Linked DNA regions of Sus scrofa. The protein of the gene in region 2 interacts with the protein of the main gene of each other region in a biochemical or structural test. Links are inferred from orthologs where the notes say so. Each region holds a gene or a part of one and is shown on either strand. Other genes may lie near its edges. The genes, in order: CITED2 and TFAP2A.

What was found.
Region 1: the proteins of TFAP2A (region 2) and CITED2 form a complex in vitro, tested with the Homo sapiens proteins (2 studies listed by BioGRID, with this or other methods). The link is inferred for Sus scrofa from reciprocal best matches to the Homo sapiens genes TFAP2A and CITED2.

What each region holds. Positions count from the first base shown.
Region 1 is NC_010443.5:25,154,338-25,158,702, forward strand, and holds CITED2 (cbp/p300-interacting transactivator 2), read left to right. Parts: upstream 1-1,314; 5' UTR 1,315-1,571; intron 1,572-2,033; 5' UTR 2,034-2,041; coding exon 2,042-2,863; 3' UTR 2,864-4,180; downstream 4,181-4,365. UniProt on the Homo sapiens protein: Transcriptional coactivator of the p300/CBP-mediated transcription complex. Acts as a bridge, linking TFAP2 transcription factors and the p300/CBP transcriptional coactivator complex in order to stimulate TFAP2-mediated transcriptional activation.
Region 2 is NC_010449.5:7,233,322-7,237,131, forward strand, and holds part of TFAP2A (transcription factor AP-2-alpha), read right to left. Parts: intron 3,269-3,810; exon of another isoform or gene 3,170-3,268; coding exon of another isoform or gene 3,143-3,169; intron 1,886-3,142; coding exon 1,451-1,885; intron 1-1,450.

The DNA.
Region 1 (4,365 bases), on a different chromosome or scaffold from region 2:
AGCTCTGACTGGGTAGTGGCCCAGACCGGTGTTAGGGCTTTTATTTGCAAGTCAATGAGCCAAATGGACGACCAGGCTAGTTGTGCCGCGTTCTGGGAAGCAAGGTTATTATTATCACCTATTGCCCCACTGAGAAATTTCACTGGAAAGGAATAGTCCCAGCAGTGTGTATGCTCGCGGTGCCATACGGGACGTGCAGCTACGTGCCCACCTCCAGAACGACTTTATTTACAAAGCGATTACCATGTTATCTATCTGTTTTCCTTTTCCAGCAACAGCAGCCTTACTCAGCCCTCGAATTTCTTAATTACAAACCCGTTCACTTCTAAAGCAACCCCAAACCGTCTGGCAGAACCCAGAGGGAGGCTGTGCAAGTTTGCACACACCCCCATCTCCCGGATCAAGGGCAACAGCAGAAGCAAGAAACTGTATGTGCAAAAAGGTGGATCTAGGGACGAGGATCGCTGAGTTTGTTTACAGAGGAGAGACGCCTCAGCTCGGATGCCAAAGCTACCAAGAGCTGCAAACGCAAACTTAGCAGAAGCACACGTACCCGGGAGCGGCGAGTGGGCCCCAAAACGCGGACAGGATTCCCGGCCGCTGGAGCGGAGGCAGCCGAGCGCTAGCGCGCTCAGTCCACCTGCAGCTGCAGCGGGCTGCCGGTCCCCGCCCCCAGCCTCTGTCCTTGAGGCGGGGGAGCGGGGGGGGGGGGGGGGGGGAGATTCACCTACACGCAGAATATCTAGATCAGGTCACCTAATGCCCAAATAGAAACACAAAGGCAAAACCCAGGAAAGCGTGCACAGGGGAGGGGACATTCTTTGCCTAGGGCTTAAAAACGCACTGGGGTAAACACAACCATTCTTTGCAGCCTGGGTAAGCTTTGGTAAGCTCAGGGAGGCAAAAAGGCACTATGGACGGCGTGGGCGCTGCATTGAATCCCCTTTTCCAGTAAAAAGCAGCTCAGATCGGTAGGTGAGCTGGGGGTTGGGGAATCCGGCCAGAGGGGGGCGATGAGTTTTCCTCGCTTCTTTCCGGACAGGCGCTACCTCTAGGCTGAGAGTCAAGGGAAGATTTTTTTCTCTGTGCCGGGGGCCGCCGTGCTGGCTCAGTGTTTGTGGAGGAAACCAGGATCCGGGGGCCGCGGGGCGGTGCCTGGGACCGCAGCCTCTGCGCACGTGCCTCCGGCCGAGGGGGAACTCGGTTGCCAGACCCAGTCCGGGGTGCTCAAAGTGCCGGAATCCGCATTTTCCCTCCGCCCCCCCGGGAGGCTCTCGCTCCGCCCTTTCTGAAATCCCTTATATTGACTGTGGCCAAAGCCCTAAGAAACACAGCTCATTGTTGGCAGCTGCCGGGCGGTCTAGCGATCTAGCGAGCTGTGAGGCAGCAGAGGGGAAATAAAAGGGAACGGCTCCGGTCCTGCCCCAGCAGCCGCTGCAAGACCTCGGCGCAGACTTCGAGACAGCGAGCGCCTTGCACACCGGAAAGGCCACCTCTATGTGCTGCTGAGCCGGTCCTGGACCCAACGATCCCGCCCTCGGTCTTCAGAGCAGAAATCGCAAGGACGGAAGGTAAGCGCGGCGAGAGAAGCTGGCTGGGGCTTCTGCCAACCCAGTCCGACGAGGGCTGGGTTTGCCCGGAGGAAGAGCGTGAGGCGGAGCTGGGGAATAACAACAGGATGTGCAACAACAGGATGAGGAGGGCTGATTTAATGCCTGAAGTTCGCGGCAGGGCTACGGGGCACTTCCTTTATTAGGCGACATCGGGGAGCAAAGGGGGGTGTGGGCTTGGGTCCCCCCGCCCGATCGCAGGGGAAAGGGATGTTTGTGCAGCGCGCGGCTCTGTTGTAGATGGCAGGTCTGTCTTGGTGGTGAACCCGGGTGCACAGGCTCCTGGTGGGATCCTCGGGATGATCGCAACCGAAGTGTGTCTAGGGAGTCTTGGGAGGGGGGCAAAGGCGAGAAAAGGTGGGCTGCGCTGTGGTGGGCGACACGTGTGGCTACGGTCTTAGCGTCTGCTTTTTTCACTTTCAGGACTGGAAATGGCAGACCATATGATGGCCATGAACCACGGGCGCTTCCCCGACGGCACCAATGGGCTGCACCACCACCCTGCCCACCGCATGGGTATGGGGCAGTTCCCAAGCCCCCATCACCACCAGCAGCAGCAGCCCCAACACACCTTTAACGCCCTAATGGGCGAGCACATACACTACGGCGCGGGCAACATGAATGCCACAAGCGGCATCAGGCACGCGATGGGGCCGGGGACTGTGAACGGAGGGCACCCCCCGAGCGCGCTGGCCCCCGCGGCCAGGTTTAACAACTCCCAGTTCATGGCCCCCCCCGTGGCCAGTCAGGGAGGCTCCCTGCCGGCCAGCATGCAGCTGCAGAAGCTCAACAACCAGTATTTCAACCATCACCCCTACCCCCACAACCACTACATGCCGGATTTGCACCCTGCTGCAGGCCACCAGATGAACGGGACAAACCAGCACTTCCGAGATTGCAACCCCAAGCACAGCAGCGGCAGCAGCACCCCCGGCGGCTCCGGCGGCAGCAGCACCCCCGGCGGCTCCGCGGGCACTTCTGGCGGCGGCGCGGGCAGCAGCAATAGCGGCGGCGGCAGCGGCAGCGGCAGCAGCAGCAACATGCCCGCCTCTGTGGCCCACGTCCCTGCTGCAATGCTGCCGCCCAATGTCATAGACACTGATTTCATCGACGAGGAAGTGCTTATGTCCTTAGTGATAGAAATGGGTTTGGACCGCATCAAGGAGCTGCCTGAACTCTGGCTGGGGCAAAACGAGTTTGATTTTATGACGGACTTCGTGTGCAAACAGCAGCCCAGTAGAGTAAGCTGTTGACTCGATCAAAATCTCGGAGAAAGAAATCAAATCCCCCAACTTCTTCGGCGTGAATTAAAAAACATTCCCTTAGACACAGTATCTCACTTTTCAGATCGTGAAAGGTTTGAGAACTTGGAAACAAAGTAAACTATAAACTTGTACAAATTGGTTTTAAAAATTGCTGCCACTTTTTTTTTTTTTCTGTTTTCGTTTCGTTTTTGTAGCCTTGACACTCACCTCCCTTATGTAGTTGAAATATCTAGCTAACTTGGTCTTTTTTGTTGTTTGTTTTTACTCCTTATTTCCTCACTTTCTCCAGTGCTGAACTGTTAGATATTAATCTTGGCAAACTGCTTAATCTTGTGGATTTTGTAGATGGTTTCAAATGACTGAACTGTATTCAGATTTATGAGGGAAAGGAAAAATTGCATTAGTTGGTTGCATGAACTTTGAAGGGCAGATATTACTGCACAAACTCTGCCATCTCACTTCATTTTTTTAACTATGCATTTGAGTACAGACGAATTTTTTAAAATATGCTAAACTGGAAGATTAAACAGATGTGGGCCAAACCGTTCTGAATCAGGAAAAGTCATACTGTTCACTTTCAAGGTGGCTGTCCCCCTCCCCCATATGTACAGACAATAATAGGGTGTGGAATGTCGTCAGTGGCAAACATTTCACAAATTTTTATTTTGTTTCTGTCTTCAACATTTTTGACACTGTGCTAATAGTTATATTCAGTACATGAAAAGATACTACTGTGTTGAAAGCTTTTTAGGAAATTTTGACAGTATTTTTGTACAAAACATTTTTTTGAAAAAATACTTGTTAATTTATTCTATTTTAATTTGCCAATGTCAATAAAAAGTTAAGAAATACTTGTTTTCTAGAAGTCATTTGGGGGTGGTTATTCCCTTTGGTGGCTTTCTTTTTTTCTCTTTAAGTTGAACACTTTATTGATGAGAGTAAGCATTCCAAAGGATAAATTACAGGACACTAAAACAGGTCATGATGAGCTTAAAGCGGAGAGCAGGATTTAACATAATTGGCATAATGCTTCATTGTTATCACTGTAACATGCCTCTTGGTGTGGTTTAATCAAAAGCTGCAAAGTTGTTAGAGCTTTTTTTCTTCCCCTGAATTGTCATCATAAGTGTACTCCAGAGTTAGGCAGGTTTGTAATACTAAATGTTATAAATATTTTTTCACAGAGAGGGAGGGGGGAAAGACAAGTATTTCTGGTTATACCTGATTCAACTACTTAACTGGAGGTAGACTGGAATAAAATACTGGGAGAGTGATGAGGATGTATTAAATACAAATCTGCCTTTATCTCTAGTGATGAATTTTATTTCTCAGCAAAAGTACTAAGGAGAGGCACACAATTTCTAGCTTAATCTCTGCGAAAGCTTCTGACTGGTTTACAGTTCTAAGAGGAAGAGAGGGTGGAATTCCACCTTGAGGCTTTCTATTTTGTTCTATAATATTTAAAATTTACTCAGCAAGGTTGACTCAAA
Region 2 (3,810 bases):
AGGTTTGTTTCTTCATTGCTCTTTTCTCAACTATTACTCCTCTCTTTCTACTTTCCATGAAATGCAGCATTTCGTACCTGTATCAGTGTCTAAAAACCTGTAACACACACACACACACACACACACGCACACACACACACACAATGCTTACTAAACCCCATGTTGGATCAACTGCCTACTTTCTTGCTTTCCATGCTAGGCTGCTAAACATAACCAACAAATTTCAGCGATTAACTAGGCCAAATGAGAGACGTAATAAATATCCTATTTGCCTATGTAACTTAAATAATGTTTTAAATTCACCAAGCAAGCAGGTAAGTTCATCTGACCATTTTCTTTGCAATCTAATGCAGGAATCATTAAACTGTCAACGGACATATTGCTGCAATATTTGATGCAGTAATTTGAAATAGCATTTTAGCAAAAATCACATCCAGATACATTTCCTCTCCAAAGAAAAGCAGCATTAACAGAGCCTTTACAGCTTTAATAAAATTATTGACTTGTTCTAATTCCATTTCAGGAAGGTTGTGAGGCGACCATAAATATGTAGGATTGAAGCAGAGATGCTGGTTTAAATTTAATTTCAGAAAGTATTTTCAAATTATCAATAGCCTGGCTTGCATTGTAAATAGTAAATGCGCTAATACCACGCTGATTTAGAAAGCATTCAAAGCTGCATTTATTGATAACTGAATTAGAACTCAAAGAATGCACTGCCCAATCGTCTCAAAACATTTAATTTAATATGGGGTGTAGCAGGTTCTGATAGGCGTTGGGAACCTAGCTAATGATTTATGAGGTCAGCACTTAGCACCCCTAGGAAGAGAAAAAGGCTGCATTTAATGTCCTGCCCGGATTTGCTGCTTAGTGTTCTTTAATCAGGGTAGGGTGGACACATAACTTTCAGATATCACTGGTGTTCACAAAATCCAGTAAAAAAATCATTTTCTTCGTCTATCCTTCACACTTTCCCTTAAATTGCTAGGGCATTTAAATGAGTTCTTTTGGTGGACTCTAACACGTTTTTCAGAAATCCCCACGACAGCCTCAGCGGTGGACTCGGATCCTCTCCCAACTGAAACGGTTTACCGTCGTGGAGAGGGGAAGGTATCACCGGTGACAAGATACGGTGATTTATAGAAACCCGTCTGATTTATATAAATGGTAACGCAGGCATTGTTTGCAGGAGGTCCAGGAACCATTGTTCTAGGGGCAGAACTCTCTCTCTCTCAACTACTTGTGCAAATGTTTAATGCGGTTGTCTAGGAGGGTCCTGCAAGGGTCCACCCCCCTCCCCCCAAAATAAAACGAGGCTTTTTGAGAAAGCCAACACCACGGAGGGGGAAGCCCAGGCCCCCTCCGGCTGGACGTGGTGGGGAGCTTGGGGGAGGGGGGCGAGCAGGGGCTGCGCCTCCTCCGCCGCCGCCCTGCCCGCGCGGCCTCTTACCGGGACGTCCTCGATGGCGTGAGGTAAGGAGTGGATCGGGAGGTCTCCGAGTCCTGAGCCAAGCCCGTGGGGGCCGTGCAGGAGGTCCTCGTGCCGCCGGTAGTCCCTGCGAGGATCCAGGCCCGACAGCTGGTGGGGTAGCCCCCGGTGCGTGTGCAGGAGCCCAGACTCCTGGCTCTGCCTCTGGCCGGGCCAGCCCGGGTGCTGCGGCTGCGGCTGGGCGTGCAGGGGGTTCAGGCTGTAGGGGTCGTTGACGTGGGAGTAAGGATCTTGCGACTGGGGGTAGATAGGCTGGTAGGGCGGGGGAAAGTAGGGGGGCTGGAAGTCGGCATTGGGGGTGTGGGACAGCGGCGGGGCGCTCGTGTAGGGAGATTGACCTACAGTGCCCAGCTGGGGCAACCGTGCCGTCCCGTTGCTGGTGCCGTCGTGACGGTCCTGGAAGAGAGCGACAAGAAGGGGAGAGAAGGAGACATCAGGCGTCGAGTTACAGCTGCCACACAAAATCCACTCCGCCAGACTGCGTGGGAAACCGCCCATTCCTGTCCGCAGGCCGCCGGCACGAAAGGAGCCCTGAGTGGTTCTTTGCAGAAAATTCTCCAGAAGTGAAACGGGCCCTTCCCCAAACGCAGGGAATTAGATGGTGCCAAGGTGGGCGCTTTAGAGACTCTCCTTAGGCGTTTCTTTCCAAGGGGGGAAAAAACAGCAGAAAGGGGCCTCCCGGAACACAGCTCGTTAGGCTGCAGAGTGAAACCTCCCTTAAGCAAAATTAAAATTCCTAACTATTAAACTGCAGAAGCGGCCTCTTCTCTGTCCCTGGATTTGAACCTGCCTGCCACTGCGTTATTGTTTACCCTGTTCCATTTATTTCGAGGAAAAAGTCAAACCCGTTCAAAGACCATTACCATTTCATGATTATTTAAATAGAAACATATTTCGTAGAGGGGCTGTAAGGGAAGCCCTCGTTGAAATTACCAGCCTAAAGAAGGTTTTAACCGCGGAATAGGGGGCTGTCTTTTCCGAATCCTCAGGCGCCTTTTTTTTTTTTTTTTTTTTCCTGCACAGGGTCGATTTATGATAGGGACGGGGAGAGGGGGAAGCCAAGACCAGGTTTCAAATGAAAAGATTCAGCCTTATATTGGGTTTAAAAGAGAGAGGTGCACCCCGGGGCGGAGGCCCCCGCCCCTTCCACCCCAGCCCCAAAGGGCAGAAGAAACGCCTGACTTGTGTTCCTCTATTGCAATTCGCTTGCAAAACAAGCGAACGGAGTGGGTTCCAGGGAACGGGAAACCTCGGAGGTTCAGCCCCGGGCCCCGAGGGGAAGGGGCACGCCGGGCAGCGTTTTCCTGCAGCCGAATTAAGCATCAGATGTTGAGAACGGCTCGGGAACAAGTGAAGAGGCGAGGAAATCAGGATGAACGTGGCGAGAGACACACGCCTCGGGAAGCAGCGGCGAGGTAGGTCTGCGCGCCGGGAGAGGTCGAGCGGGGGTCGGGGGGTGGGGTGGGGGGGACCGCATTCGCTTCAAGAAGGGGAAAGAGGAAGAGAAAGGAGGAGAGAGGGGAATGCAAACGGAAAAGGGGGTGCCCCGAAGGACAGCCGGGCGAGGAACCCGAAGTCTCGGGCCGCTCGGCAGCCCCAGGTTTCGAGTCGAATTCCTAAGGAAACAGGGATGGGGGTGGGGATGGGACTCACCATAGCTGAAAAACTGTGAACTAACATCTGCGAAGAGTCTGGGGTAACGAGTCAGGGTGGAAAACGACAAGCAAGCCCGGAGAGCCCGGCTGCCCCGCCGCCCGAGCGCGCCCCACACAAAAGGCGCCGAGAGCCCCGCGCCACCCAGGACTCCGGTCACGGCGCCGCCGCTCCCCCGAGCGCTGGAGCCCCGCTCTGGTCCATCCGAACTTGAACCACCGATTGGAGCGGCGCCTTCAGCTGGTCGAACCCACGGTCTCTATCCTGCCGTGATCGGGTAGGATTCAAAGTTCCTTAAAAAATGAAAAACCCCAAAAAGGGAAAAAGCAAAAAGTGTGTGTGTGTCTGTGTCTGTGCGTGTGTGTGTGTGTGTGTGTGTGCGTGTGTGTGCGTGTTCCTTAATCCGTGTCTCCCCCTCTTTTCTTAGCGGCGGCTTCGCTTGAGCTTCTAATAACCGCGCCGGGCAGCGTTCCTGGAGCCTCCTAATAGCAGATATTCATGACTATTAATATTACACGAATACTTAATAAGGGAAGAATGCCTGGAAATCGAGCGTGAAGCGGAGAGGCAACTCGCGCCGGAGCCGGCTCTCAATGCAGTCCATTGACGGGAGCCTCAGTGTAGCAAATCGGAGGTGGGGAGAGGGAGCGCGAGAGACAAAAAGCGGG